4 linked regions of the Elephas maximus indicus genome follow. The protein of the gene in region 3 interacts with the protein of the main gene of each other region in a pairwise test. Links are inferred from orthologs where the notes say so. Each region holds a gene or a part of one and is shown on either strand. Other genes may lie near its edges. The genes, in order: VIM, ZSCAN1, PPL and RAB3IP.

Evidence for each region.
Region 1: the proteins of PPL (region 3) and VIM interact in binary tests that used the Homo sapiens proteins (3 or more experiments, as listed by UniProt). The link is inferred for Elephas maximus indicus from reciprocal best matches to the Homo sapiens genes PPL and VIM.
Region 2: the proteins of PPL (region 3) and ZSCAN1 interact in binary tests that used the Homo sapiens proteins (3 or more experiments, as listed by UniProt). The two-hybrid records come from large-scale screens. The link is inferred for Elephas maximus indicus from reciprocal best matches to the Homo sapiens genes PPL and ZSCAN1.
Region 4: the proteins of PPL (region 3) and RAB3IP interact in binary tests that used the Homo sapiens proteins (3 or more experiments, as listed by UniProt). The two-hybrid records come from large-scale screens. The link is inferred for Elephas maximus indicus from reciprocal best matches to the Homo sapiens genes PPL and RAB3IP.

Annotation. Positions count from the first base shown.
Region 1 is NC_064822.1:39,613,235-39,621,054, reverse strand, and holds the start of VIM (vimentin), read left to right. Parts: upstream 1-4,714; 5' UTR 4,715-4,870; coding exon 4,871-5,433; intron 5,434-6,070; coding exon 6,071-6,131; intron 6,132-7,820. UniProt on the Homo sapiens protein: Vimentins are class-III intermediate filaments found in various non-epithelial cells, especially mesenchymal cells. Vimentin is attached to the nucleus, endoplasmic reticulum, and mitochondria, either laterally or terminally.
Region 2 is NC_064829.1:87,803,181-87,811,246, forward strand, and holds the start of ZSCAN1 (zinc finger and SCAN domain-containing protein 1), read right to left. Parts: upstream 3,338-8,066; coding exon 2,932-3,337; intron 1-2,931. UniProt on the Homo sapiens protein: May be involved in transcriptional regulation.
Region 3 is NC_064830.1:63,028,800-63,035,957, forward strand, and holds the start of PPL (periplakin), read right to left. Parts: upstream 3,030-7,158; 5' UTR 2,882-3,029; coding exon 2,820-2,881; intron 1-2,819. UniProt on the Homo sapiens protein: Component of the cornified envelope of keratinocytes. May link the cornified envelope to desmosomes and intermediate filaments. May act as a localization signal in PKB/AKT-mediated signaling.
Region 4 is NC_064822.1:130,924,144-130,931,547, reverse strand, and holds the start of RAB3IP (rab-3A-interacting protein), read right to left. Parts: upstream 3,019-7,404; 5' UTR 2,925-3,018; intron 1-2,924. UniProt on the Homo sapiens protein: Guanine nucleotide exchange factor (GEF) which may activate RAB8A and RAB8B. Promotes the exchange of GDP to GTP, converting inactive GDP-bound Rab proteins into their active GTP-bound form.

The sequences.
Region 1 (7,820 bases), on a different chromosome or scaffold from region 3:
TGATGCACTTTGGTTCATTAGGGCATCTTGAGAAAGCCATTTTCAAAAAAAAAGGGGAGGGGAGCCAGCTCTGAGAGATACACACTGGTGAGGGAAGTGATACCCTGGAGGAGGGGGAGCCAATTGCATTACTGCAGGGATGAAATATGGAATGGCTTGGATGTGAGTGACAGCAGCATAACAGTGGATACAGGAAGCAATGGGACATGTATCATATCATGATACTCTTTGGATCTGACCAATATAGTATAAGGAAGTGGCAAGATGATGAAAGTTTCTAATCTTGGTGGTTTGCTGAGTTGCCCTTAATAGATAGGGAAGTTGGGAGGGGAAGCTGCTCTGGTTGGTGGGTTTTAGGGTGTGAGATGAGCTCAGTTAAATTTTGGATCTAATACTTCTGAACAGGTAGAAAGGAATCTAGGTGAAAATGTTTAAGTCACAGATGAAAGTCCAGATTTCGAGCTCAGGTGAAAATGAAACCCCCTTCTTATCCAACCATTATGGATCATTGCTACATCATCTGCATGACACAAAACATTATATTCTGAGTGTCTGCCAAACTCTGCTAAGAATCTTCTCTTACCCAGAAAAATCTGTATTAATCATTCTGGAACACAGTAGCCCCCTAATTAGTATTTGTGAATTGAATTGGTTGAGAGTAAGGAAAATTTAGTCATTAAGGACAGGAGAAAATACAGGCATTTAGAGTCAGAAAGGCCTCAGTTCAAATGTTTGTTCCCTTTCTCCCCTTTCTTGCCCCCTTACTAATTACACGACCATAAGTTATTAACCTGAGTCTTAGACTTACCTGTAAAATGGATGACCAAATCTATCTTGCAGGATGCTGAGAGAGCATTAAACTAAATATATATGTACAAAGTGACAGTCATTCAGTAGGCACAAAAATTAAAGCAGCTATTATATTATTTGGAGCTCTGGTGATGTAGTGGTTAGGAGCTCAGGCTGCTGACCAAAGGTCAGCAGTTTGATTCCTTGGAAGCCCTGTGGAACAATTCTACTCTGTCCTATAGGGTCGCTATGAGTTGGAATCCACTCAGTGGCAATAGGTTTTTTGGTTTATTATAATACTTATTATCTTTATCACCATGCCTTTTAGGTTTTGCCAAATTTTTCACCATGTCATTTCATCCACCGTCTCGCTTCTATCATTTCATCAGACAATCCTGCTAGAAGTTGTCCTCGTGGCCTGGCGGCCTGTGAGCCAGATTCCCTAAAGCTTCCACAGGACACTAAGCTCCTCTTCGCATGGCTGGCTGGTCAGTCAGTGCAGATCACCCAATTCAGCTGACATCACCACAGCTTGCAAATCCCCAAATCACTGTTAGTACTTTAGACTTAGACTGGGTAATGTTTACGCCTGGCTTACACAGTGTACCACTGGGGCCTCATTTATACACAACTTGTATCATGCAATGTATAAAGCAGCTTCATAGCCCAGCCTTTAAAAATACTTCTGAGGTAGGTTTTCATAGCCATCAAAAAATAAATATGAAAACTGAGAAAACTATGCTTACATACTGTTTACTTCCAAAAGGTAACTAAAAACAGAGGTAGAATATAGGAGGATTAGTTACCATACGTGAGGATGTTAGTTCAGATATGTATTTCCCTCATTGATGACTATCACTCATTGTTTTAGGCACTGTGCTAGGCACAGTATATTTCGTCTAAGAATGAATTTAATTCTTTCCAAAGTTTCACGTATACTACATGAATGAGTAAAAAAGTTTTTGCAACCTTCACCTCTCTATAGTTCATCTGCAAATGATGAAAAATTTCTAATAAGATGGAAAATATGTATATAATATATATTTGTTGTTGTTAGCTGCTGTCCAGTCAGCCCCCGATTCATTGTGACTCATGCCAATGTGATCAGACCATTGTGATCCCCAGGGTTTTCACTGGCTGAGTTTTTCAGAAGTAGATCACCAGGCTTTTTTTCCAAGTCTGTCTTAGTCTGGAAGCACCACCGAAACCTGTTCAGCGTCACAGCAACATTCAAAACCTCCAGTGGCAGGTAGGTGGTGGTCGTGCATGAGTTACATTGGCCAGGAAATGAACCCATGTCTCCTACAGGAAAGGTGAGTATTTAATCACTGAACCACAACTGGTCCTCATAATAATATACACATACGTATATACACACACATAATATACATACACACACACACATATGGCAAGTGAGCACACCAGCTGTGGCAAGAGAGTAGCCTAGCACAGCCCTGAGAATACAGAATGGGGACAGCAGTGGAAGGAGAAGGGACACCCCTCAGATTACCAGGAACACCAGGGCCCATCCCAGAGGCAGTCACCACAGCCCTGAGGAACGAGTTGTGGGCACAGACAGGGCACACTGCCACACCACACGAGAGCTTTGCCCTCATTTTCTGTAGTGAGTCAGTCAGCAAGCATCCCTTGACAGCGCCAGCCACCACATTGCCCCGGGATCAGCATTTTATGTAGGAGTAAGGCCCACCCTTTCTCCCCCCTCCACCATAGAGAGATTGCTTTTCTCATCCTAAGGGTTCCAGGCAACCTCACAATGGCGACATTTGCTGAGCAGAGGCTTGAATAAAGGGCTCTCAGAGAGCAAGATGGGAACGTGAAGCACAGGCTCCTCTGCCAGGCATGGAGTCCCAGGAATGCTCTTTGGGAGTGACCCCAGCCTCCCAGCGAATGAGGGAATAAAAGAAAGCCACAGTAGGAGTGCTGTGCAGGAAAGGGTCCTCGGCTGGACTTTGGCACTGCCATTTGCCAGAGCTAACTGAAATGAGGTAAACAAAATATTGCCTAGAAGAAGCATAGAATAAACCCCTTCATTTGGCTCCAAACCGTTCTTCTTAAATGCCAGGTAACCTTCAGTATTCCCCTCCCCCCACACACACACAAAGAGAGAAAACTTTCCTTTTTTCCCCTACCTATAGCAATATAACCAAGGTGTTTCTATTTTTACAGTGGTTCTGAAATTAATCTTTTCAGTACTCCCTAAGTATCATAAGTACTCAAGAAAATGTCGATTTTTTAAATTGCTACTTAATCACAAGAAGACTGGTTCCCCTTTCCTCCCTTCATCTCCTTTGGGTGGTAACTATTCTGTGTTTCACTAATATTGAAACAATAGCCCCTTGAGTTGAGTTATTTACCTAGAAAGCTTAAGGTGATGGAATCTCTCCATGTCATGGACCACAGCTTTATCTCTCTCACTCCAAGACCAAAGGCACAAATCCTCTTCTTGACAACAGACCACAAGAATTGGTGACATTTCTCAGACAAGTCCTCAGAATTCTGCACTGCGCAGCTCTGTCCTAAAATTAACACATAAATCTATTTTCCTCAAACATTCTGTCATTTGAGTTACATAACTGCCTTTCATTTGATCTCATTAATCAAATTGGGGGTTTAAAGCAACACCTAATTACTTCTGTAATTGGCTCAGATTATACCGTTAATGACTTCTACTACAGCAGAAAAAAGCAGTGATCTCTCAATTTGATTCTGAAACTATGTACGCCGAATTTCCTCTTTTACCCAGAACCTGCAGATCATTTTAAAAGTCGGGTGTGGTTTCATAGGGGGAGGGGGAAGAGTGAGAGGAGGCTGGAGTGAAGGGTGGGAGGGAACTTTTTAAGTAAAGCTATCACCAACTGCCCGGAGACCCGCAGTTGGCGACTCTCCAAGGTCTGCGGAAAGTTCCTTCTAAAAAGTGCGCACATTGGAACAAAATCACGATTTGGCGACTTCTTAAAAATAAAGGGTGCTCTTGGCTCCCCCACGGCTGGACCGTACACATCAAAGCGACCGCCGAGCTCTAAGTGGGGTAAGATTTAGAACAAAACACTGAGCGTGGGGCCCGCGGAGACTTAAGTCAACCTCGTCTAACGGTTTCCCTCGAACTGCTAGGCCCCCTAAACCTCTACCGGCCAGCAGGGCGCAGTGAGTCACCCTCAGTGACTCACAGACCCCGCCCCTCTTCCCTGGGCTTGTCTCGGCCACCGCCTCAGCCCCGGCCGTCCGAAGCCGGACGGAGTCCGTTAAGTCCCTGCACAGTACCCTCAAGACAAGACGAAGAAAAAAGACGAGGGTCCTAATTGTCCCCCCTTTCGAAGCGGGCAGCGCGCGAGGCTCCACAGGCCCAAGTCCTGCGTTCTCCGCTGCGCGCGACCCCACCCCACGCTCCAATTTCAGGCGCTCTTTGTTTCTTTCTCGCCGCCTCTGGATATGCTCGATCCTTTACTCCCCCTCTTCCTGCTCCTTTAGCCGAGGGTCTCTCCCCCCACCGGCTCCCAGTCTGCGCAGCCCTGTGTCCCAGCGCCCACCGCGCACCCCTCCCACCAGTGCGCCTCCTCCCACGTTCCTTTGGCGTGGTCCCCAGGACCCTTCTTATCCAGCCCGGGGCGCCTTCCCCAACCACCGCGCGACCCCCGCCTTTTTCGGCACCCAGGGGTGAGCAGACCTCCGGCAATTACGAGGAAAGCCCCCAAAGTCCTAGCCAAACTTAGCAAGTAACGGGACCGTGCCCAGTCCGGTGCTGCCAGGAGCCGGGAGGAGAAAGGCTTGAGGGCGCCCCCGCCCCAAACCCCCGCCCACTCCCCCCTCTTCTCGCCAGGTCCCCATTGGCTGGCGCGCTTCGCGGCTTGGATGGCAGTGGGAGGGGACCCTCTTTCCTAGCCGGGTTATAAAAACAGCGCCCTTGGCAGGGTCCCGTCCTCTGCCACTCTCGCTCCCGGGTCCCCGCGCCAGAGACGCAGGAGTGCTCCCACCGCACACCCACCGCGCCCTTGCTCGCCTCTCCTCCCGGAGCCAGTCCGCACAGCTGCAGCCGCCCAGCCCACCGCCACCCTCCGCAGCCATGTCCACCAGGTCCGTGTCCTCATCCTCCTACCGCCGGATGTTCGGCGGCCCCGGCACCGCAAGCCGGCCCAGCTCCAACCGGAGCTTCGTGACCACGTCCACCCGCACCTACAGCCTGGGCAGCGCGCTGCGGCCCAGCACCAGTCGCAGCCTCTATACCTCGTCCCCGGGCGGCGTGTTCGCCACGCGCTCCTCGGCTGTGCGCCTGCGGAGCAGCGTGCCCGGCGTGCGACTGCTGCAGGACTCGGTGGACTTCTCGCTGGCCGACGCCATCAACACTGAGTTCAAGAACACCCGTACCAACGAGAAGGTGGAGCTGCAGGAGCTCAATGACCGATTCGCCAACTACATCGACAAGGTGCGTTTCCTGGAGCAGCAGAACAAGATCCTGCTAGCCGAGCTCGAGCAGCTCAAAGGCCAGGGTAAGTCGCGCCTGGGAGACCTGTACGAGGAGGAGATGCGGGAGCTGCGTCGGCAGGTGGATCAGCTCACCAACGACAAGGCCCGCGTGGAGGTGGAGCGCGACAACCTGGCCGAGGACATCACGCGTCTCCGGGAGAAGTAAGGAGGAGCCCGGGCCACTTACGGGGGTTGGGGGGCGACGTCCGGGCAGGGCCGCGGGAAGAAGGGGGAGGGGAACGACGCCCTCCGAGGGGCTGCCACGCCCTTGGGGCGGTGGCGGCACGGGATTCCTAAACTCAGACCTTGCAGCTAGCATTTCCCCTTTGCACGCACTCATTGCCCAAGAACGCTCCGTTTCAGGCAACGGATTTCATAAAACTAAAAAAAAAAAAAAAAACCCACTTTGAAATTAAAGGCACTTGATAAAGATGAGAGTGGTTCGTCCAAACTTTTAAGAAAGTTTCCTGGCCCCTCCTGGCGGGCTGCCAGTAATGGGGCCGGAAGGAGGGAGGAGAGGATAGCTGTGGAGAACGCGAGACAAAGGATGGCCGTCTCCTCTGGGGCGGGAGTGGTGGCGTTTGCTTTGCAGGTCCTAGTGGCGACTGTGATTGCTTTTTCATGCTGCGGCCGAGGTCCCGCTAAAACTTGCCGAGGGCTGCAGTTCTACAAGGGCTGCAGTCGCTGGCTGCCGGCAGAGGCGGCTGTTGTCTCGTGGCGCAGCGACGTGGTGGTTGGGTGCGGCCGCCCTCCCCTGGCGGTTTCCCAGTTCCCCTTGGTTAATATGCAACTGTTTCAGGTTGCAGGAGGAGATGCTGCAGAGAGAGGAAGCCGAGAGCACCCTGCAATCTTTCAGACAGGTTTGTAGACTTCCTTCCCCTTCGTCGGCAGCGGAACCACCCAACCAACCCACTGGCGATTCTAAAAGTTACTTAGAACTTAAGTCCAAAGAGTGCAGAAGTTCACGTCTGTGCATACAGCCCCCTAGTGGTAGAAAGACCACAAATTGGAGCTTTTCCAGCTAAAAACCTTTGAGGGCTTTACCCTTTCTTTAGGACATAAATAAAGTCTTTAACTTTTTACTTTGTTTCAAGATTTTTTTCAAGGAAATAAAGACATTTCTTTCTTTCTTTTTTTTTTTTTTTTTGGGAACGCACTGACATTGTGATTTTGAACAGTTACAGTTTGATTTAGATTGTGGCTTGCTAAAGTTGGCCAACTTTTACAAGGCCACAAAAAGCGCAATTTATGCCCTGTAGTTTAAAAAGTAAAAGGTGTCGGAAGATGAGAAACTTAGTTTGACTGGCATGAAGCCAACAAGTTTCCTTTCTTTGCCAGTTCTATTGTGGCGGTAAAGTTAGGTGGAAGTATCGCTATGCACAACTATTTTGTGATCTAATAAGGGTGAAAAGGAGCCATCTGTCCTCTTGGCTGAAGGCTATTAATGGTTTCTATGGGATTCACTATGGAATGTAGATACAGACATTCTGCAAATGTGGTGGCTTTGGACGGAAATAATAGGAGTCTTTGTGTTCCCAGAGAAGCTTTGCAACAGGCTACATTCTTATTGAATATGTAATGATGTAAGCGCAGTTCTAATTGGACACAAGTATTTGCTAACATCGTGATCTCCGTTATCTAATACCTGGCCCAGCTTGTGAAGTATGTGATGTGAAAAGTTTTTAAAGCTACAGTCATACATCAGATTTTGAAAGGCCGTTATTGGCTTCTTATATTCTTTAGCACTGCCCACAAAAATAAAGAAGAAACCTAAGGCTGATGAATACAATTTTAAGTAAAGGATTTTTTTTTTCTCCAATGTTATAGTGGAAGGAATTTTAGCTTAAAATTAAAACCAAGACGATTTCCCAGCACAGTTTATTCTCCTGAACACTTACTGGAATTGGCTGTACAAGCACTCTAAGATGAATAGCCTAGGATGATATTTTGAAACTGAAATACATTTGCCAAATTAATTTCAGTGCACAGCAATGTGTGGTATTCATTGTAGTCATTGAGCATTTATGACCATACCTGTAATGTCTGCAGAGTACTGAGTTAATATAAAGTAATATTAATATAAAAGTTCCCCTCTTTAGGGAATAAGTAAAATTTCTCACATTCTCTTCAGTGGAGTGTCACATAGAGCATTTTGTAGAGGTTAGTAAAATATCGTTTATATCTGTTTTCGAGATTAACAGCAAGCTAAAATGAAATTGTTTCCAAGTTGGATCTTTTTGCTGTCACCCATTCTTCATTCACTTTTCCATGAAAGTGATACAAGTGTCTCAGTATTTTAAGACAATAAGGCTATAAGTTGTATTCCAAATATAACTGCCTACAAGTTAAGGTATATAAAATCCTCATGGAATCCCTTGGGAGAAATAAAATCTTAGTTTCAAGAGTGTGCACTTTGATTTAGAATGTAGCGGTTTGCAAACATTGGAGACCGAGGAGAGCAAGATCAGCAAGAATTCTTCACATGGTTTCATTATATACAAGTGTTTTCACCAGTCATTCTGAAAAAAGCTGAGTAACTGACTTGACCG
Region 2 (8,066 bases), on a different chromosome or scaffold from region 3:
AAGACATGAAGTAGCTGGCTGACATGCTTTCATGTGTGTGCTTACATTCAAAATGAGAGGGACAAGGGAGGATCCCCACTTTTGTTTCCTCTTTTCCTGGTAGATCTCCGGAAGAGAGGGTAGGGGAAGATGCTGGTAGGATTATATGATTGAGCTGTGAATATGACTGTTAACAGGGTTAATTGTGATTGTAAAATCTGTAATTATAGATGTTGTAACTGTGAAAGAGTGGACTAAGGCACATGCGGGACTGTAGTACAGTGGCCAAACTTAAAATCCCTTAAAGGCTTTGCTATCCTGATACCTTAGGAGGCTCAGACCAAGGGAATAATCTCTCAGTTAAATTTTATCGGATACCAGGAAGAATGAAGCCGAGATGACTTTTGGCGAACCTGACTAAATCAGGTGGACATGTGCAGCAGGCCGGAATGACTGGTACTAAGTAACCTCACCCTGAGGGCTCTTTGTCCTATTGAAGGGCTAATTGTTAGTGACTGTTTTGGACTGGTAAAATGATTGGGAGGAGGAAGTTAGCCTCCACCAAGTGCCCAGAGGCACCCTACTCCTCCAGCAAGCCTCCGGAGCCTGAAGGCACTCATCTTTCTCACTCAGTCAGCTGGGAAGCCCACCACACCATCTCCTGCCAGTCTCCTGGTTCTGCTGCTGTTGTTTCTCTGCCACTGCTTCTTGCCAAGGCTGACTGGCAGAGTGGGGTGTCTTGGAGTATTTATCAGCAGAGCTAAAAGTGCTTTTTAACACTTGCCTGTGCAGGGCAGAGGCCGAGGGGCCACAGAGAGGCGTGCTTGCAAGCACAGGTGAGAAGAGGTTGTCCTGATGGAAGATCTGTATCCTGAGCATTCCTGAACCTGAACTGTTACCTGTTCCTTCCCTAATAAGCCCCGTAAATGTGAGTATGGTCTGAGATCTGTGTGGCCACTGCAACAAATTATCGAACTCAGCAGAGAAATAGACAATGCCCTGGGAGGGATGCTGAGTGTCAGAATTGGGAAAGACGATGGGGAGAGGAAGCATGTCTGACCTCTACAGAGTAGGAATCAGCCTTGGGCTGTTGATCTTGATTCTCCGTCCCCCTTGTAAAAATGGAGGAGGTCAGGTGATGCCCCTGTTATGCCATTTTTGTACATAATTAACATAATATATTAATATGTTATATTATTATTATAGCCATAAGATGAATGAAGTATTGATGCATGCTGCTACATAGATGAACCTTGAAAACGTTGCTGCTGTTGTTAGTTGCCATCGAGTCTATTCCAACTCACAAAATGTGGCCTTTTGAGTCTGGCTTCTTTCATTGAACATAATGTTTTCAAAGGAATCCTTGGGTGGTGTAAGCAGTTAAGCACTCAACTACTAGCCTAAAGTATGGTGGTTTTGACACAGCCAGAGGCACCTCAGAAGACAGGCCTGGCAATCCGCTTCTGAAAGGTCATAGTTTTGAAAACCCTAAGCAGCAGTTCTACTCATGCATGCCACATTTCGTGGATTCCATTGACGTGAAATGCCCAGGTTTGGTAAATCCGTAGAGACAGACAGTAGATTAGTGGTTGTCAGGGGCTGGGCGAAGGGAGGAATGGGGAGTGTCTGCTAATGGGTATGAAGTTGGGGTTTCTTTTGGGGATGGTGAAAATGTTCTGGAATTAGGCTGTGGTGTGGTTATGGTTGCATAACTGTGGATATACTAAAAACTACTGACTTGAATTTTATAGCATGTGAATTATATTTCAATAAGACTATTATTAAAAAAAAAAAAGCAAACAGAAATAATCTGATGTAGTGATGTCACCAAAAATAGCACAATAGGGAACTCCAACGTTCCGATGCCTCTACTAAAGCAATGACAAAATGGTCAGAAGTAACTTCTTCTAATGAAAAACTTACACAGTCAGAGAAGTGTTTAATGAATAAAGAAGCTACTAAATTTTGGTGAATTCTCAATGGAATCCAGAATTTCTGGAGCCATTGAGGCTGCATGAACCCTTAAAATATTGCCCTGAAATAATATTTAAACTTTAAACCTCAAACCAAAACTTTTCTTGGAAGTCCACTTTGAACCAAACAACTAAACCAAACCAAACTCATCGCTGTCAAGTTGATTCTGACTCACAGCCACCCCTTGGGTGCAGAGTAGAATGGTGCTCCACAGGGTCTTCAAGGCTGTGACCTTTCTGAGGCACCTCTGAGTGGGTTCGAGCTGCCAACCTTTCAGCTAATAGTTGATTATGATTATAATTAACATAATATGTTATGCTATATTATTATATTATTATTATAGCCATAAAAAAGAATGAAGTATTGATGTTACCACGCAGATGAACTACCAGGGACCCCCATTTGGCCTAACTTAATATTGTTAATATGGTGGTTAGGATTGAATTGTGTCCCCCCAAAATGTGTTATATACCCTAACCCCTATACTTATGGTTATAATCCCATTTGGGAATGGGTTTTCTTTGTTATGTTAATGAGACGGTACTAGTGTAGGGTACGTTTTAAGTCAATCTCTTTTGAGATATAAAAAGAGTAGATTAAGCTCAACCAAGCAAGGAGAGATGGGGGAAGATAGATGCCATGCCACATGAAGATTACGAAGGAGCTGAGGAACGCTGGGCCTACAGATACTGAGAAGAGACAAGGAACTTCCCTCTGAGCCGACAGAGAGAAAAAACCTTCCCCTAGAGCCGGCATCCTGAATTCAGACTTCTAGCCTCCTAAACTGTAAGAAAACAAATTTCTGTTTGTTAAAGCCACCCACTTTTGGTATTTCTGTTATAGCAGCACTAGAGAACTAAGACAGATGGCAATACTACCCAAGGGCCACCTGCAGGAAAGACGCGGGGCTCTCATCTGGTATGAACCCAAACCCCAGCTCCTACTTCCTCCTGGAGCCACTTGCCTTTGGGGGTCAGCCAGTCCCTGGGGACCACCGAGCCTGTGGCTTCTTACATTCCTGCTGGAACATCTGCATGAGGTCTTCCACCAGGCTGGTGGCCTCCCTGCAGGTTTGGGGGCCCTGTGACTGCACCCAGGACCTCATCTTGCAGGTCAGCGAGCTCAGGAACTGCTCCAGCACCAGCAGTTCCAGGATCTGCTCCTTGGAGCAAGTATCGGGCCACAGCCACAGGTGGCAGAGTGTCCAGAGCTGCCTCAGTGCCTGCTGCAGCCCAGTCACCGTGCAATACTTGAACTGCCGGAAGCATAAGCGCCAGGCTTCTGCATCCCCGGGGCTGGCAGGCCGCACTGCCCCATCCTTCTCACTTGGTGCTGGGGTCTGGGTGCTCCTGCAAGAGGCAAAGCCTCTCGCCAGTGGAAGCATCTCTCTGACCACAGGGCATGTGGCCTCGATGGCTCTGAACAAGCACAGGCAGCAGTCAGGAGCCTGCAGAGAGGTGCCAGTGCAGAGAGACCACATCACAAGGTGGGTAACCTTGCTCTAGAACCTCTCAGTACCCTACGTTTTTGCCCCCCCCGCCAAGGCCCCCAGGGACTGAGCCAGGCCCTGTCCGCATCACTCCCATCTAACCTGGCCATGGACAAGCCAGTGGCCACCGCATGGCCTTTGCACTTGCTTTTCATTCCAGCTCAGATGTCACCACTGCAGGAAGAGCTTCCTCTACGTGGCCGCTTGATTGTCATCCTTGTCCCTCCACCCTCATAGTGCGCCCATCTCTTCTGAACACATTTTATTTCATTACTCGTTTAGTATCTCCTCCTCCTCAGTTCATCATTGAACAAACATTTATGAGGAGCTGGGGACAATATGGAGCCCTGGTGGCACAGCAGTGAAATGTTTGTTGGCTAAGCAAAAGGATGGCAGTTTGAATCCACCAGCTGCTCCTTGGAAACCCTAGGGAGAAGTTCTACTCCGTCCTGTAGGGTTGCTATGAGTTGGAATTGACTCGACAGCAACGAGTTTGGCTTTTTTAAAGGGGGGACAATATGGACATTGTTCTCAAAGAATTGCGATTGTGGTTTTTAACCTGATATTACCCAAGGGCTATGCCGTGACATGTGGAGTAGCAACGCTTACCCATGGAACTTTCTGTATAGGTAACAATGTGCTCCATCTGCACTGCCCCATCCGAGCACTTGAATGAGGAGCTGGATTTTCAATTTTACTTAATTTGAAAATAGCCACTCGTGCCATGTAAGGGGCAATGCAATAGAGGCCTCCTGCCCCCTGCCCCTGGGGTATTATTGCTGCTGTCTTCCTTGCCTCATGTGCCAAGTTGGGGCTGATGATGGGAGCAGCAAGGAGGGCAAGGAGGGGCTGGAGGAAAGAGACTTTAAAAGCAGAGGGAAAGCTAGAAGGGCAAGGAAAAATAACCTTTTGTATATTTTCCAAGCTTCCTATGGTGAATATATCACAACCGAACGAAATACGACAAGTTATAAACATAAAATGAGCAGGGATTTTACTACATGCTTATATCCTGTGCTGACAGGGTGGGGTCATTCACTGGTGAGAATATAAGCTGGCACAGAAGCACTGGGTATTGTTAGGTGCCGTCGAGCTGGTTGTTGACTCATAGTGACCCCATGTGACAGAGCAGAACTGCCCTGTAGGGTTTTTCCTGCAGAGCCAATGTATGGGTTCAAACCGCCAGCCTTTTGGTTTGTAGCTGAGTGCTTAACCGTTGCACCACTAGGGCTCCTTAGAAGCACTGGAGCAGCTTGTATACAAAAAACCTTCTGGACGCTGAGAAATTTAGCCAAAATGCAGACAAAGATTTAGGCACCAAAATTTACTATGAAAGGTCCTAATTTACTACGAAAGTACCTAACAGTCAAACCTGGTGGGGTCAATTACTTCCTATTATGTCATGGAGTATTATCCAACTGTTCAAAATAGTGTTAATCCCATTAACACACTCAAGGCAGTGGTGAGGTGCAGGGGAGGAAGCAGGGTGCGGGACAATATATGAGAGTTCTGCAAAGGGGTGCCAGAAAAGAAGCCCCAGGGTTGCAAGCCAAGTGCCTGGTGCTCTTCATACTTCTGTCAATCTCCCCCAAATTGTATAATGACCCCGTGTAACCTTTATCAACAGAAAAAAAAAAAAAAAACCAGAAAATTTTTAGGAAGGACTTTTAACAATATGGGAAAATGCTTATAACAGGTGAAGAGTGGAGGATTCCACGTGAGTTTTCCTTCCTGATGCTTTGGCTCATGTTTTCTACAGTTACCAGGTATGGGTTTTATAATCCGAAAGAAAGGAGAGTTGTTTCAGGCAGAAAGGCCGACTCATGAGGGGGGTGTGTTCTGTAGCCTGTGAGTCTGCTTTCCCCCACCTGCACATTGGGGATTACAAGCAAAAATACTCTCTTGTGCTTTACACTTTCATTTATATGTATTTTTGGAAAAAGAAAAAAAAGCATGTTTTGTAGTTTCATAGGTTGGAGCAGTCCCCTCTGCTCTGGGGTCCCAGAGCTTACATTCCCTGTCTGGTGCTCAGGGAAATGTTCTCTGGAGCTGTAGCCCCTCAGCACTTCTTTGGGAGGCCTGGGACAGCTCCTAGGGTCCATGTGGTAGCTGAAGTCCTTTTGGGAGGTCCTGGGCTGATATAGCAGTTCTACTCTGTCCTATAGGGTCACTATGAGTCAGAATCGACTCCATGAAACAGGTTTGGTTTTGGTTTGATGGTGCAGTGGCTAAAGTGCTTGGCTGCTAACCAAAAGGTTGGCAGTACAAACTCACCAGCCACTCCAACTGTAAAGATTTACAGCTTTAGAAACCTTATGGAAGAGTTCTACTCTGTTCATAGGGTCACTATGAGTTGGAATCGACTCCATTACAGTGTTTTTTTTCTTTTTTTCCTAGGCTGATACGGGGAGTTCTGGGCCCATGTGGAGGTTCTGGGCCAATGTGAGGGGTCCTAGGCTGATATAAGTGGTGCTGGGCTGATGTGGGGAATCCTAGGTTGATGTGGGGGTCCCAGGCCAATGTGTTTGGTCCTGGACCGATGTGGAGTGGGTCTGAGGTCTATATAGAATAGGTTCTGGGGCACACGTAGTATTTGTTGCGGTGGTCCAGGGATACAGGAGATCCACTTTGGGGGGTACCTGGGTTTGGAACCTTGGTGGGTAGTGGTTAAGTGCTATGGCTGCTAACCAAATGGTCAGCCGTTGGAATCCACCAGGCATTCCTTGGAAACTTTATGGGGTAGCTCTACTTTGTCCTATAGGGTTGTTATAAGTCAGAATCGACTCAACAGTAATTAGTTTGGTTTGGTTTTTTGGTTGAATGTCATGTAAAGGGCTCAAAGCTAGGTGGAAGGGCTGGTCTACCTGGAGTAGGCACTAGGGTCTGTGGCAGAGACCTCAAGTTCTATGAAGGAAAGGGGGACCCGTGAGGGCTTGGTAACTGACAGCCAAACCACCTAATAGATGATCAAGAGATAGTCGTTGAATAAATAAATGAGTGTGGGGGAAGAACGGGGGAGTGGAGGTTTGTGGGAGAAAAGGATTGAGCAGGGTTTGCTCACTAAGGAAGCGACAGATAAATGAGTTGGGGAGGTGGGAGATGGGCGAGTGGGCCCAGGGGCTGCAGAGCGGGTGGGAGAAGGGCTGCTGGGGCCGGTTGGAGAGGGATCTGAACGGACAGACCAGCGGGGGCTTTCTACCTCAAGCCGGTGGGGGGTTGCCAAATGGCCCTCGGCCCACTCCCAACATCGACCTCAGCACTCCCTGTACTTTAAGACTCCCCGCATCCGTCAGGGTCCCATGTCAGGAACTCCTCTCTCCCCTCAGGGTCCCGCGAAGGACCTCGGGATGCCGACCCGGGCGCCGCCAGCCTCGGGCAGCGACCACGGCCCAGGGCCTTATTCATCTCCACACGCGTTCTCTACCGTGAGCCCCAGACCGCCCTTGCCGACGTGACGCCCGTCATCCGCCCCTGGGTTCCTCCCTGGGACTGCCAGGCCAACAGGCGCACTGACTGCCAGAAGTACTGACTGCGGACAGACTAAAGCGCACGCAGGGTCTGCTTGGGCCCTCAGTCACGGCGCCACCTTGGCATGTGCAATCACCCGGTAGCTGCCTGATGGACTGCGACTCCCGGAACCCCGCGCTCCATGGGCTGTTGCCTTCGGCCTGTTGGGGAGCGCTGGCCCACCGCCCCACCCAGGAGCCCCGGGATACCCTAGTGGGGGTGGGATCATGACAAACACAGCTGCCCCAACCAATAAAAGCTGCCTGAATTAGGTCGTCTCGCTCCAGAGATTTCTTAGCATTACCCTGGAATTGGGATTTGGTCACCATGGCAACTGTCCACGCTTTTCTGGGAGCGCAGCAAGAATTGGGTGGAGGATGGGACTTCCTGTGCTGCACAGTCCCAATGACAGCTTTAGCTCCCTCTGCTTTACTTCTTTGGTTATACTGAATACTAAGTTAAGTACTAATAGTATATTTTAGTATAAGAATGTTCCAACAGCATATTTGGGACATGTTGCTGTTGGTAGGTGCGGTGGAGTGGGTTCAGATTCATAGTGACCCTGTGTACAACAGAATGAAACGCTGCCTGGCTCTGCACCATCCTTTCAATCACTGTTATGTTTGAGCCCATAGGTTTGAATTTCTCTCCAGTGTATACCTAAAAGTGGAATTTATGGACCATATGGTAATTCTGGAAACCCTGGTGGCTTAGCAGTTAAGAGCTACAGCTGCTACCAAAAGGTCAACAGTTCAAATCCACCTGGCGCTCCTTGGAAACCATATGGGGCAGTTCTACTCTGTCTTGTTCTACTCTTGTCTCTGCTATGAGTTGGAATCGACTCGACAGCAACAGGTTTGGTTTTTGGTTTTATGGTAATTCTGGAGCCTGGTGATACAGTGCTTAAGAGCTTAGGTGCTAAATGTAAGGTCACCAGTTGGAACCCATCAACCACTCTATAGGAGAGAGATGTGGCACTCTGCTTCTGTAAAGGTTATACCCTTGGAAACCCTATGGAGCAGTTCTACTCTGTCAAACAGGGTCATGATGGAGTTGGAATCAATTCGACTGCGACGGGTTTTTTTTATGGTAATTCTATGTTTAATTTGTGAGGGAT
Region 3 (7,158 bases):
TGAAAGAATAACCTGGAGACTCAGACACTTGTATGCCAGTGTTCATAGCAGCACTATTCTCTATAGCCAAAAGGTGGAAACAACCCAAATGTCCATCAAATACTAAGTGGATGAACAAAACGTGGTCTATCTATACAATGGAATATTCTTCGGCCATAAAAAACAATGGGGTTCTGATACATTGGCAACATGGGAGAGCATGGGAAACATTACGCTAAGTCAAATGAGCCAGACGCAAAACGACAAATATTATATGACTATACTAATATACTTATATGAAATGTCCAGGACAGGCAAATTTATACTCAGAAAACAGATTAGTGGTTGCCATGGGCTGGGGGGCGCAGGAAGTGGGGAGTTATTTTTAAATGGGTACCAAGTTTCTGTACAATTTAAAAATGGTTTAAAATGGTAAATTTTAGTTTATGTATATTTTACCACACTACAAACATTTTTTAAGATAATTTAAAAAATAAACCTTGGGGGTCAGCTCACCCTAACCAGGGACCACATCTTAGAGCTACAAGCCCCTCATGTGGCACTTGGCACTTGGAACCAAGTATGTACCGATTAAGAGATTCTTGTTGGGAGAGGGGGACAAAGTGTTGTCCCACCCTACAATCTGGTCCGAGTACTCGACTCCCACCAAGAAGAAGGAGCAGAGGGATGCCCAGGGCTGGCGAGACCATACAGGGAAGGACCAAGAACCTACTCAGGGCTAGGACCGCTCTCATTCTCAGTGCTGGGACAGGGGTAACAGAGAACCCAGCGGAGCCCATGGGAAGGGTCTCACCCTAGCCTGGGCAGAGTCATCAGGGCAGGCTTCCTGGAGAAAAAAACCTAAGCTGAGATCTGGGGACCAACCAACGGATGTCAGCCAAGGCAAGAGGCGGCTTCCTCCAGCCAGGAGTAAAGGAGGGGAGGGACAAGGGCAGGACCCCATGTCCCTGCAGCTGTAAAGGACAGGACGCCCTCCTTTCTACCCTTTCCCGGGAAAGCCAGAGCCCCTCCCAGCTTCTCTGGGTTCATTATAACTTTTTGTTGTGTCCAAGTTCAGGCATCCAAACTCAGGCCTCGGGGGACGAATGGAGAGCTGGGAGGTGGGAGGCAGAGGGTAGGCCCTGCCTGATACAGCTCCCCACATGTGCATGAGTGTGGGTGTGTGCATGTGTGAAGGACTGGAGGAGCCTGAGTCTTGTGGTGGCGGGGGGTGGGGGGGGACAGAACAGCCATTCGTGGCTGGCACAGCGTATCTGATTGTGCAATGCCCATCAACAGCACGGGGACTGGACCAGACCCCAGGCCCAGTTTGAGTGCCAGCTGGACCTGGCCACAGAGGAACAGTGGGAAGGACCCCACCCAGTCTCTGGGGTTGTGAAAGATCATATGAGGGGTGGCTCTGAAGGGGAACATCGAAGGGGTGGGGAAGAACTGCCTCTGAACTTGAAACAGCCCAAACAGACTGGGTGGTGGGAAGGCCAGGGCAGTGGGGTTTGTGAAAGGGCTGGAAATCTAGGGAATCAAAGTGCCCAGGCCCACCTGCACCTGTCAGACAGGTCCTCGGGGCTGAACCACAGGGGCAGGTGCCAGCCCAGGGCCCAGAGCCCTCTTGTGGCCTTCACATGGGGGTTGGGGAGGGGTTGAGGGACTGCTCAGGGGTGCAGTAGGGGCCACACAGTGAGGGTACTTTGCAGTGGTATTCCCAGTCAGGTGGGCTGTGCCCTTGAATCTCCCACCTACCTTCCCCCTAGTTTAGAGAAGCTGGGAAAGTGTTTCCTCACAGCCAGGAGCCCCCAGCCCATTTTCCCTGGGCGAAGGGGAGAAAGGCAGGGCCAGAGTCGCACCCCCTCCCTCAATCTCAGCATCTCCAGGAGGCTCCCCCAAACCGGTTATTAAGTGAATATATTAACGCTTGTCAAAACAGATGTGGGCCGCCGACTCAACGCAAACACATCAAGACCTGTTATTCCCTTCCCATGCTGCCTGGGAACCCGCGGCTCAGAGACGCTGCAAGTTTCAGGGTTGGCTCGAGGGACGGAAAGAAGGACACACCCTCTGAGAAAGAGTGAGGCGAGGAGGACTCCGGCGCCCCCCTGCAGCAGCGCAGACCCCCGACCCCCGGGAGGCTGGAGGGTGTCCCTCAGCCTGTGCCTCCCACCCGACCCACACCCACCCGGTTCCTCTGGGCGCGGCTCTGAGTGCAGAGTGGCAGGTGCGGGAAAGTGCTGCGGCAGGTGGCTCCCCCACTGCGCCGCCCCCGCCTAGCCTCCCCGACGCTAGGAGCACCTGTGCGCTCTCCAAGAAGCGCTGGGCGCGCCCCCCACGCCCCTGCTCAATCTCCCTGTCCCTGTGCGTCCCCTACACGGTGCTTCCGGCGCCCCGGCCTTGGTGTAGCGTCATCGGACCCCCACCCGTATCCCGGCGGTGCTTCAGGGCCCAGGGAGACGCCGGGCGCAAGGGCGACGCCGGGCTCAAGGGCGACCCCAGGACCCGGGTGTTCCTGTGCCCAGCTCAGTTCCCCGCCCTCTAGGCCCCAAGATCGTGCTCCGAGGATTCTAGAACTCCCTAGGGCCACCTATCGGGCCCCCTCGGCGCCCCAGCCCACCCCCATCCCCACCACAGCTCCAGGACGCTCCCGGGCCCGTGTTCCCTGGTGTCTCACCCTGCAGGCCTCCGGGGCGTGCTCCCCACGCCCCAGATGCCCCCAGGGCGCCGCCGTTGCCCCGCGCCCGGGCGGGGCTTGCGGCCCAGAGCGCCCTCACTTCGCGCCGCGGCTGGAGGGCTCCGAGGGCCCCGGGGCGCAGCGAGCGCCTCCTCACCTCCTGGTGTGCACGGTGGGGCTGTATTTGCCTTTGTTTCTCTTCCTGAAGAGCGAGTTCATCGTGGCAGGCAGTGGAGGCGGGAAGGCTGGGAGGGCTGGCGGCCCGGCACGCACCGACACTGCGGGCGCAGGTGAGGGCGCTGCGGACCGAACGAACGAACGAACGAACGAACGAACGAGCGAGCGAGCGAGCGCGCGGCGGCGCCAGCTCTACTCGGAGGGGGCGGGGCGCCCGCCGGCCACTCGCGCTCCGGCCGCTCCCCGCGAAGGTGGTGCTTACCTTCCCCGAGGAGAAGCCGCGGTGGGCGGGGCTTCCCCGCGAGGCAGGCGCCCAGCCTCCATCCAGGCCCAGCGAGTGGGGCTGGGGCCTGCGGAGAGGGGCGCTGGGTCTTGGCCAGACCCCCACCCGAGTCCGGGGCTCCAGAGGGTGGTACAGACCGGCTTCCCCGAGCACCCACAGGCCTGGCGCGCGCCCCGGCTGAGAGCCCTCGCCTGGCTTGTTCCTCCCCCCTCCCGCCCCCGCGCTTGACTTGGACACTCAGGGGGCTCCCCAGCCCTTATAACTAGAGAACTACACTCTAATGGGCGCAGTGGAGGGAGAGGCTACTGAAAACGAGCGGCTCTGAGGTTTGCCGCCACATCAAATCCTGCCGCCACAACTGGCCACCGCTTCGCCGGTATCTTCCCTCGGCTGCCTCAGTTTCCTTATTTGGCAAACAGTGGTAACAGACGGCCCCTTCCCAAAGTGTTGTGAGGGGATTCCTGCAGATAATCCCAGACACGGTGCCTGGCCCGAAGCCAAGTGCAGGGAGCTTTGCTTTGCTTCTCATCATGCCATCTAGGGCAGACAAAAAGTCCTTTGAAACTTTAATAACTCTAGGTCCTGGCATGACAGAAGTACTTCATGCCTGGTCTTAAAAGCTGCTTGATTCTGGTTCAGAATGGGCATATTGCACAATTCTGCCATTGTGTGTCCAGGCTGGACCTAACCAGTGTGTGCCTGGGTGAGGCCATGCACCAGTGTGTGCCTAGGCTAGACCACGCCAGCGTGTGCCCAGGTTAGACTGTAGGTCAGTGAAGAAGGCTGCAGTTGGGCAGACAGTAAACCGAGCCTGGCAGGGAGCCCGAGTGGGGCCCTAACAGCTGGGAGGATTCCGCACCATTCTGGAGGACACTGGGAGGTTCAAGCACACAGTCTCCAGGGGGATACTCCAGAAGTCTGCAGGATAAATTATGGCCAAAGTGCTGTGCTGTTGGTCAGATGGGGAGTATGGAGGCCCACTGGGGCCTGGGGGAGGGGGTGGGCCTCAGCCCAGGACTAGTGTGAGTCCTCAGTCCCTCCCCTCATGTATTTATTTGTAAATTAAGGATGTCGATGGGGAATTTGACTTCCAAGGTTCCTCCCTGCCCCAGACTGCAGAGCATCTAAAGACACTGGATGCTCTTCAGTCCCTCTATTGCCCCTGCCACTGAAGGGACATCGGTGGGTGGACTTGAGGGGGTCTGCATTTCCCCTAAAGTTGCTTGCATAATGTGCATGTCCGTCCATGTGTGCTTTTTTCTGGGGAAGGGTCTATCACTTCACTGGATTCATACATTGGCTTCTTAAGGGATAGTTGTGAATGCCCTCCCACCCTCTGTGCATGGCTCTGCTACATGAGAAAAGAAAACCACAAAACAGAAAAAGGGGTCTTTCTCTCAAGGGGCTTTCAGTCTTGGGGGGACTCATGATAAAAAAAAAAAACACTCAAATAGTTAATATACTTTTCAGAAACATGGGAACCGAACAAGGAGAAAGGACCCCAACTAGGCAGCGGTTCTGAGCTGTTGTGCATCAGAATCCCCAGGGAATATGCAAAATGCAGATTCCAGGGTCCTGGCTCCTTTGGGTGCTGATAGAGGCAGTCTGGGGAGGGGCCCAGGAATCTGAACTTTTTGTTTTTTTGCATGTACTATTCAGTGACATCAATTACTTTCATAATATTGTGCTATCTTTCCAAATTTTCCCATCACCTTTTACAGAAACTCAGTGCCACCCAGGGAATCTGAACTTTTCATGGGTTTCTTTGGTAGTCTGCAGCCTCGCTCTGAGAAACTGGGAGTGAGGGTCTCTGTTTGCAGCCCACTTGCCACTCAGGCAGGGACCTTGATGCGAGCTTCCCACCAAACCTCTCTCTAGTCACTCCCTTCTGAACTTGGCTTTGCCTGGCTCCCTTCTAAGCTGGAAGTTTGTTAGGGCAGGTAAAGTCTTGAGCAATTCCTTCCGCTTGAAGTAACTTCCCTTCCTGAGGTGGAGGTTCAGACAAGGGCTGGAGGGCACCTAGGGGATGCTCCCTTTAGCCAACTGACATTGGGAGCAGGTATTTCCAAACATGGGTGGAGGGGGTGGTCAGCCCACCGGGACCCGCAGAAGTCAAACTCATCACAGAGCTTGTTCACCCACATGGACCCCTTCTCCTGCACCCCAGATGGGCCACAGGGACGGGCTCAGAGGGAATCTTGCTGGTCCCCTTGCATTTGCCCATGCTGTCACGCTGCCTGGAAACCGTTTTCTTACTTCTCCCTGGGAGTAACTTCCCTACAGATGGGTTCCCACTGGGTGCTAAATTCACAAAGGTACTAAGTGTACCTTCAGGGATGTTCGCTGTCACATTATAGCTAAGGAGGAAGCCCTGGAAACAATCTGATAGTGTAGAGAGGAGGTTGATTACATAATCCAGGATGCTTCCACACTGGGAGGACCCTGCAGCTGAAGAAGAATGATAGCCTAATGTGGAACGCTCACCAGACACGTATATATATAGTCGAGTGCAAGAACAAAGTGCCAAAGAGTGCATAAGGGGCTCCCATTTGTGTTAGAGAGAGAGAGAGAAAGGAGTATATGTGTGTGTGCCTTATTCTTGTACACGCATAGAAAAAACTTCTGGAAAGGATCCACAAGAAACTGTTAGCTGCGATTCCCCTCAGAAGGGATAAGAGAGAAATGTGAATTTTCACTGTGTACTCTTTTATGGTGTTTGCATTTTATTTATAATCATGTATATGATTTTTTTAATGAATTGCTTTTTTCACTTTTTATTGAAGTAAATATGTATGTAACAAAACGTTTGCCATTTCAACATTCTTTACATGTACAACTCAGTGACATTACTTGTGTTCATCATGTTGTACAACCATCATCATTATCTGTTTCCGAATTTTTCCGTAACTCTTACCAGAAACCCAGTGTCGCCTGAGTCAAGTTACTGATAGTCCAGGGGCAGAGGCAAAGATACAACTATAAAGCCGACCAGCATAAGAGTCAGGGAAGAAGGGAACCTCATCAGGGTTCAAATGCTTGGGTAGAAAAACCCAGTGCTGGTCAGCTGTGTGAAGGTAAGCAAGGCATTTTGCCTCTTCTACCCTCAGTTTTCCCCGTCTGTGGAATGGGTGCAATTGTAGCCTTGACCTCATAGGATACCATCCTGTGTGTTAAGCACTCAGCATGGCCCCTGGCAGTTAGCTAGGGCTCAGACCAATGGGAGGGAGTTAGATCTGTAGCTGAAGACTACAAGCTTGTGGGACTGAAGGGTACAAGCAGTTTGCTGGAGCTCCAAACAGTGTCCAAACCCTAGACTTGTTGAAACTTCCAAACCTCCTTTCCCCATACCTCCTAGGAAGGTGAAGGTCAGTTTTGGGGAGGGATCCAGACCACAGATCTCCAGGTTAGTGGGCCCGTAGTTCAGCTGCTGAATAACAGGAACGACACTGATAATAGTCACGTCGTTTATGGAGGGCTGACTCTGGCCAGGCGACATGGCCTGTGCCAACCTGCCCAGGGGTACAGATTTTCCGCAGTGCCCCACATGGGGTGAAACAGACCAGCTGCCCGCCTGGGAGGTGGTCAGTCTCTTGTGTTCTTTCCCAGAGAAGGGAACCAAGGCTCTGTGGAGTGCAGTGGCAAGCTGGGCTAGCCCCCGTGTCAGCCTGCTGCAGCATCCCAGGTCTTGGACCCCCGCGTGCCTCCACCCTCCACCTCACAGGCTTCGGGCAGCTGAGAGATGGGGAGAACTAGCATTGCAGGAGGAATGTGAGTTGTTCTCCACCACCCCTGCCCCCTCTGTGCTCTGGAAGCCCGCTCAGAGCTGATGGGTGCTGTGGGTGTGCATGTGTGTACACACGTGTAAAGATACATATCTTTGGGAAGGCCAGATCAGGGGAGGTCTGCTCCACCCTGTGCATCCTCCTCTGGGCAGATGCAATTTGTTGGGTTCCATGGAGCCCTCATATGCCAAATGACTCATTCCTCTCCTGACGTGGGGGTGGGGGCCCAGCCTGCTCCGGGGCCAAGGAGGGTG
Region 4 (7,404 bases), on a different chromosome or scaffold from region 3:
ATCCATTGCCTTCTAGTCAATTGCAACTCATAGCAACCCTATAGGACAGAGTAGAACTGCCCCATAGAGTTTCCAAGGAGCACCTGGTGGATATGAACTGCCGACCTTTTGGTTAGCAGCTGCAGCACTTAACCACTACCCCACCAGACTTTCTTCGATACTGGTAGTGGCAGTGATATCACCATCATCAGAAAACTAGGGTATTTTTTAACCAGAAATACAGGTGATAAACACCTTTCATCTATGTGCCTTTTTATACTTACAAAGCTCTTTTACAGAAAGTGTAAACCAGGATGGAAGGAGCAAGAGTGTTGAGTTCCATTTTGGGCAGTCACATCCAAGTTTTAATCCCTGCATTGCCATTCACCACCAAGAACTAAGTAACCATACCCAAAAAAACCAAACCCACTGCCATCGAGTCAATTACAACTCACAGCAATGAGTAGCACTGCCCCACAGAGTTACCAAGGAGTGCCTGGTGGATTAACACTGCTGACCTTTTGGTTAGCAGCCATTAACACTTAATGACTACACCACCAGGGTAACCACAGGCAAGTTATTTCACCTTCCTGAGCCTTAGTTTCCTCATTTGTAAAATGCATTACCACCACCTATATTCCAAGAACGCTGTGAAGACTAAAGGAGTTTAGGTACTTAAAGCAGGAAGCACAGCACCTGGCACACAGTCAAGCTAACATCTGTTCCTCCTTTCTCCCTCCCACCCACCTCCCACATGGAGTGTCTCATTTAATCCTCATCGCATGCACCATTATGAAATTCATATTAGGTTGAACCATATGAAAAATAGTTGAATAACAGCAATGTCGCACAGTGTGACCTAATATTCCCATTTACTAAAAGAGAAATAAGTTCAGAGATGTGCGATGACTTATTCAAGATCATATGTATAGCAAGTGATGGAGCTAAAACTTATAGACAGATTTAATAATTTTTCATTTGGCTGGCTCAATAATTTGTTCAGTGAATCTAACTCAGAAGGGAAAAAAACATACATTAACTACTATAATACATGTAAAACTACTGTAACTTACAATTTTTGGTTCTGCCATATTAAAAAATGAGGGGGTAAAATAGATTTCTAAGAACCTTTCTAATTCAAAAATTATTTGTAGAGTATGTTGGGAATTGAAGGTTTAGGGAAAATTTGAGAAAGAGAATGTTTTAGGAAAAGAAGTATTTGCATAACTACACTAATTCAAAAAGTACAACTGGATCTAATTAAAACACAAAGCAGCTCAACATCAAATATCCATCCTGGTGAAAGTTTAGAGCTATTCAATACCACCGATGAGTTCTTTGCCAAACATACAAGGAAGTGTTTTAATCAATGTACCCACTTTGTCTCACAAAGGTACACACTACCATATAACATTACTGTAATGGAAAAAGAAAAAATTAAAAAGGCTTTTCTTCTAACAGTAAGAAATACACTATTATAGTAAAACTGGATAATCACTAAGTTTTTTCTATAAATTCCACAAGGGCTTCAGAGTTAGATCACATAAACCATTATATTGAGAATACAGTATTTGTCCAAATATTAAAAAAAAAATATTAAAAGCCCTATCAAAATGCGCAATACTAGAAAATATACAAACGTTTCCGGAACACAGCCCCATAAAACTGGTGGAATATTTGACAGTACCAAGTATTGACTACGATTGGTCTCCAAATCGATTCTGCCTCTTTTCTCCTTGATTTGTCATTCACCATTTAAAAAACAAAACCAAAACTGCTGAACAACAAAATGAGGATAATAAACAGAAACTGGGTCTTTCAACAGATTTACAGTAGAACAGTTTGTTTTAATCCTCTTATCGGCCTCTCCTCCAATAGTCATCACTCCATGGCAAAAGATTACATGGCTCTGTACCAACACTGAGAAGGAGTTGGGGGGTAACGGAAGAGCGTGGAACAGGTAGAGTCGGTGGCTGCTACATTTTCACGGAACTAAATCGTCTGCCTCTCAGGAATCAGTTAACTCAGCGCTTTTAACTTTGAAGATCTTACCCTTTAGCCATGAGTTTTCGTTGTCTTTTTTTTGGGAGGGGGTTGGTTGGTTGGTTTTTAATATCATAAAAACGGGCAACTTTTCACGTGCTGCAGACTGCACCTAGCATCACTCTTGCAGCCCACTGAGCTCGGTCTTCCGCGGGCGGTCGGGGCAAACTGTCAACGCTGGAAGGACGGCGTAACTACGTCTGTGCAGCTCCTCTCAACTACCCGAAACAAAAGTCGGGCTGAACTGAGCTGCCTCCAGAGGCGCGACTCCCGGCGCTCGCTCCTTCCGACCAGGCTTCACAGAAGCCTCTCGCAGTGACCTCTCCGCCCCGGCATCGTGCCTCGCTCGTCACCTACTAAGACTCGGGAATGAAAGAGCCCGGGTCCACAGCTCCCGCGTCATTCCGCAGCAGCTCCCGCACGGAATCCCGGGCTGTGATGTGCTCCGACTTGTTCGAAAACTCTCTTCACACCCCCCCACCCCCGCCCATCCCGGTGACCCTGCGTCCACAGCTCCCGGCCGCACTTGTGCGCCGACAGGTAACCAGGCTGCGGGCTCACCGCCTCGGGCGCCGGAACCGCGCAGTTAATAAGTAACCCGCCCGAGCCCGGGGGACGCAAGCGGCGGCTGCGAGGCGCTGGGGGCGGGCCGACGCCGCTCGACGCCCACCAGCGGCCCCAGGGGACGCCCAGCTCCCCACCGCCGCTGGGGTTTCGGACCCAGCTGCCAAGGACGGGGGGCGCGCCGGGCGGCCGGCTGGGCAGCCGGGACCCTGCGCCGCGCCCTCCGCCGCGCCGGCCCCTGCACCTGCCGCCCCTCGCGGGAGGCGCGCGCGGGCGCTGAGGGGGGCGGTGCTCCGACGCCCGCGCCCCAGGCCTCTCCCTCCCGCGACCGCACTCACCTGACGAACCCACGGTGGCCGCTGCCCGCGCTCAGGGACGCTCGCAGAGCCGCAGAGAGCGCACTCCGAGGGAGCAAAAGGCGGAGGAGGACAGCGCACCGAGCCCGCTACTCTCCGCCGCGGCGGGGACGGCGCTGGGAGTCGGCGCGAGAATGCGAGACTGCGCCTGCGCCAGGAGCGAAGCCGGGAGCGGCTTGTCCCCGCGGAGGGAAGGCGGGGCTGGGGGCGGGGTGGGACAGGGCGGGGCGGGCGTGGGGCCGGGGGACCGACGCGCTTCCGCGCCCCCTGGCGCCAGGCGGGGCTTGTCGCAGGTGCAGCCTGTGCCCAGGTGCCTCCGCAGGCGGTTTCTTTGGGAACCGACGCGAATCGGCGCGAAGCAGTGTATCCTACGGCCAGAAAAGTGGCCTCGTGTTAACTTCGGAGGCGTTGGAGTCGACAGGAGTCGGAAAAGGAACCTTAGCTGTGAGTTGAAGACTGCTAGAACCAACCCGAGCCGAGTGGCGCCCATATATCCTTACAGTTTGTGTGGAGGAGGGGGAGGAGGGTTCTCTGATAGAACCCAGATCCCATCATTCCAGCAACTGCTGAAGCATTCGAGAATGTCGTTTCTGTTGTACCTCCCTTCTCTCATCTTTTATGTCACCTGTTTTATCAAACTTCCACACACTTCAGGTCCTCCAGGTAGCAAAAGTGAAAAGACAGAACCTGGCTCCCAAAACAATCAATCACTACATACGTCTCCGTGTTCAGTAAAACAGATACGTGCAATTTACATGATACACTTATTGAACAGGACTATCTTTCTATATATTGGTCACATCTCTTAGAGGCAGCAAAGAAAAGTAGACTGCGTGTATGGCTATTGGAATAAGAATTCCTGGGTTTGAATTCACCGCCTACAAGCTGCATGACCTTGGGCAAGCTAATTTCTATGAGCCCCAATATTGTCATCCTAAAAATAGGGATAAGAATACCTACCTCACTGGGCCGTTGTTAAAATAAATGATTTAAAGCTTAGTACATAACTCATAAGGAGCCCTGGTGGCGCAGTGGTTAAGCACTTGGCTGCTAACCAAAAAGTGGGAATGGTGGTGCTCCTGGGCAGAAAGATGTGGCAGTCTGCTTCCATCAAGATTGCAGCCTTGGAAACCCTTTGGGGCAGTTCTGCTCTGTTCTACAGGGTCTCTGTGAGTGGGAATCTACTCCACGGCAGTGGGTTAGACTATGAGCTTTAAGAGAACAGGCACAAGGCCTTACACGTAGTAGGATGGCTCAATAAATGAGGTATGACTGAATGATGTACATTTAGGGTACACTTTATGGAGGACAGGCCCTGTGATGTGTTTTACATAGGACCTAGATATCCTGAGTCTACAAGAAATTTTAATAACTACATGCCTGTATCCTGTGTTGGTTCCTTTGCAAATCCCCTACCATACACGTGGCTGTTTGGAATGTACTTGGGGGTGTGTCCTCTCACTTACTTGTTATTGTAGTTTGAGAGTGGGAAGAGCAATATGAGTACTTCCTGTAATAACACTTCATTATCCCTGGAGTACAGAGACCAAGAGACATTACAGAATGTAAGGCACTCAGAAGCTCAGCTTTCCCAATGTATAAAGTGTTGTGTAAACATTCTAAGTTAGACTGCCTACCCATATATTAAAGGGACAGCCACTACACACGCTTTGAAAACAAAGTGATAGATTTTGTAGTTGACTATCTTTCCCTTTCATTAAAAAATAAATTATACAATATTAAATACAGCACATAAAATAATATTTTTTAATTATAATATTTTCCCATCTGTACCTGAGGCCAGAAAACATGATATGAATGCAAAGATTTAGAACTTTAAAATTGAACAAATCTTTCTTACCCTTAGTTATAACTTTTTATTGCTTTTGCCTCTGTTTTGTTTTCAAAGTTAAGAAAGTGTATATTTGCATGGTACTTACCAGTTTCAAACTGACTTCACATTAACTACTTCATAGATCCCTTACAAAAAAACAATTTCATGTAGGTGGACAGAATTATTCTTCATGTTTACAGATGGGAACTTAGACCTCCAGAATTAAGGCTTTAGTTTTCAAAATGCTGGGTAATACTTTATAAACAAATGAACTTAAAATCTCTTTAAAAATCAGATTGAACTGCTGTGTCCAGCGGTGTGGCAGACTAGACACTCTGATTCTCCCACCAAAAGCAACTCATGTATAAGGAAACATTTTGAGAATTGGCTTCAGAGCCAGTTTTTCACACACACACACACACACATACACACACACACTTACACAAATTGCCATCCATTTAAACAAATATTTATTTATTGCTTCTCTAAGACAGACATATAAATAATCTGTAGTAAGAGGAAGGAGGAGGAGAGATGAGAAACAATACAACTTCCTGGTTTCCCTACAGTGTTTCAGTCCCAGGTTCTGGCCTATTCCTGAGGTTTAATTACATCCCTGCCTATGATTTTGTGCATCCTCATATCCTTAAATAATTCCCTCTTTTTGCTTAAAATATCTTTTGATGAATTCCTGTTACTGCCTGCTAGAAAATTACCCTAAACAGTACATTTTCATGGAAGAGTTGGCATCTGTAGCAGTTAGGATATATGACCAAAATCTCAAAATAACAGTCATTAAGCATCTAAAGATTGGCAGTTTGAACTCACTAGCGGCTTCACAGGAGAAAGATGTGGCAATCTGCATCTGTAAAGATTATGGCCTTGGAAACCCTGTGGGGTAGTTCTCCTCTATCCTCCAGGGTCACTATGAGTTGGAACCAACAGCAATGGGTTTGGTTTTGGTAAACTAAATGAAGTTTATTCCTCTCATATACGTGTAGGCAATGCAGGATTGGTTTGGTGACAGTATGATCAGCAAGGACATAGGCTGCTACCGTGTGCTTCACCATCCTGAACATGAGCTTCTGTGTTATGGCCCATGATGGCTGCTTATGTTCCAACCATCACATTCTTAATCCATCCCCCTAAAGAAGGCAGAAAGGGACATACTTCTCTATTTAAGGACACTTGCAAAAGTTTTACACATCACTACACTTACTCCCTATTGGTCAGAACTTAGCCGCAAGGAATGTTGAATCATGTAGTTTCTGTTGGGTGACCATGTTTCCAGCCAAAAATCAATGGTTCTAATTCTAAAGAAGAAGGAGGAAACAGATATTGGAAACAACTAACAACCTCTGGTTCAACATCTGAGATCAGGCTTTGGATGAGAGATAAATGGTAATGAATAGAACATACAAATAGAACAAAGACATTGTCAGAAAAACACGTAGTGGTTCAGTGAGTCTGGAAATATAATCTTCAGGTGGACAGCCCTTTTCCCAGGAAGAATATGTCTTGTTTTCATGCACTTACGGATTATTCACAAAAACTGATGATGCATGAAAACGTGCTTCAGACAGGTCTGGGGCATATCATAGGCATATCACAGGCAGGAGGCATGCTCCTTCATTCTCAGTTCTCTTTCACCACAGCTGGCTTTTATTTTCTTTACATATTGATTAGGGTTGAAAACCATTGTGAGATACATGCACTTACTAAACAATATTAAAAAAAAAAAAAATTTTTAATTTAAGATGTACAGCCCATGTGCCAAATGTATGCAGTGGAAGTACTGCTGTAAGTAGCAGTGTCCAGTAGGTGATCTAACTGACCCTAATTAGCCAGAACACTGTTATTGACTGAATTTTGTCCCCCAAATGTATGTGTTGTAAATCCTAACCTATATAAAAAAAAAGAAAAGAAAACCTATATATATGTAGGAGCCCTGGTGTTACAATAGTTAAAAGAGTTTGGCTGCTAACCAAAAAGTCGGCAGTTCAAATCCACCAGCTGCTCTTTGGAAACCCTATGGGGCATTCTTCTCTGGGTCTCTCTGAGTTGGACTTGACGGCAGTAGGTTTGGTTTTTTTTGTTTTGTTTTGTTTAATTTTTATTGTGCTTTAAGTGAAAGTTTACAAGTCAAGTCAATGTCTCACACAAAAACTTACATACACCTTGTAAAAAAAAAAAAAAAAACACCTTGTTACATACTCCCAATTGCTCTCCCCCTAATGAGACAGCCTGCTCCCTCCCTCCACTCTCTCTTTTCCTGTCCATTTTGCCAGCTTCTAACCCCGTCCCATCTCCCCTCCAGGGAGGTTTGGTTTTTTTATATCTGTGGTTATTATCTCATTTGGGAATGCATTTTCTTTGTTATGTTAATGAGACAGGATTAGTGTAGGGTATGTCTTAAAGCAGTCTCTTTTGAGCTACAAAAGAGATTAAACAAGCAAGCAAGAAAAGCACAGATAGAGGAAGAGACATGCCAAGCCACATGAAGATCTCCCAGGGACAGAAGCTCAAAGACACAAGGACCTTCCTCCAGAGCCTACAGAGAAAAAAAGCCTTCCCCTAGAGCAGGTACCCTGAATTTGAACATCTAGCCTCCTAAACCGTGAGAAAATA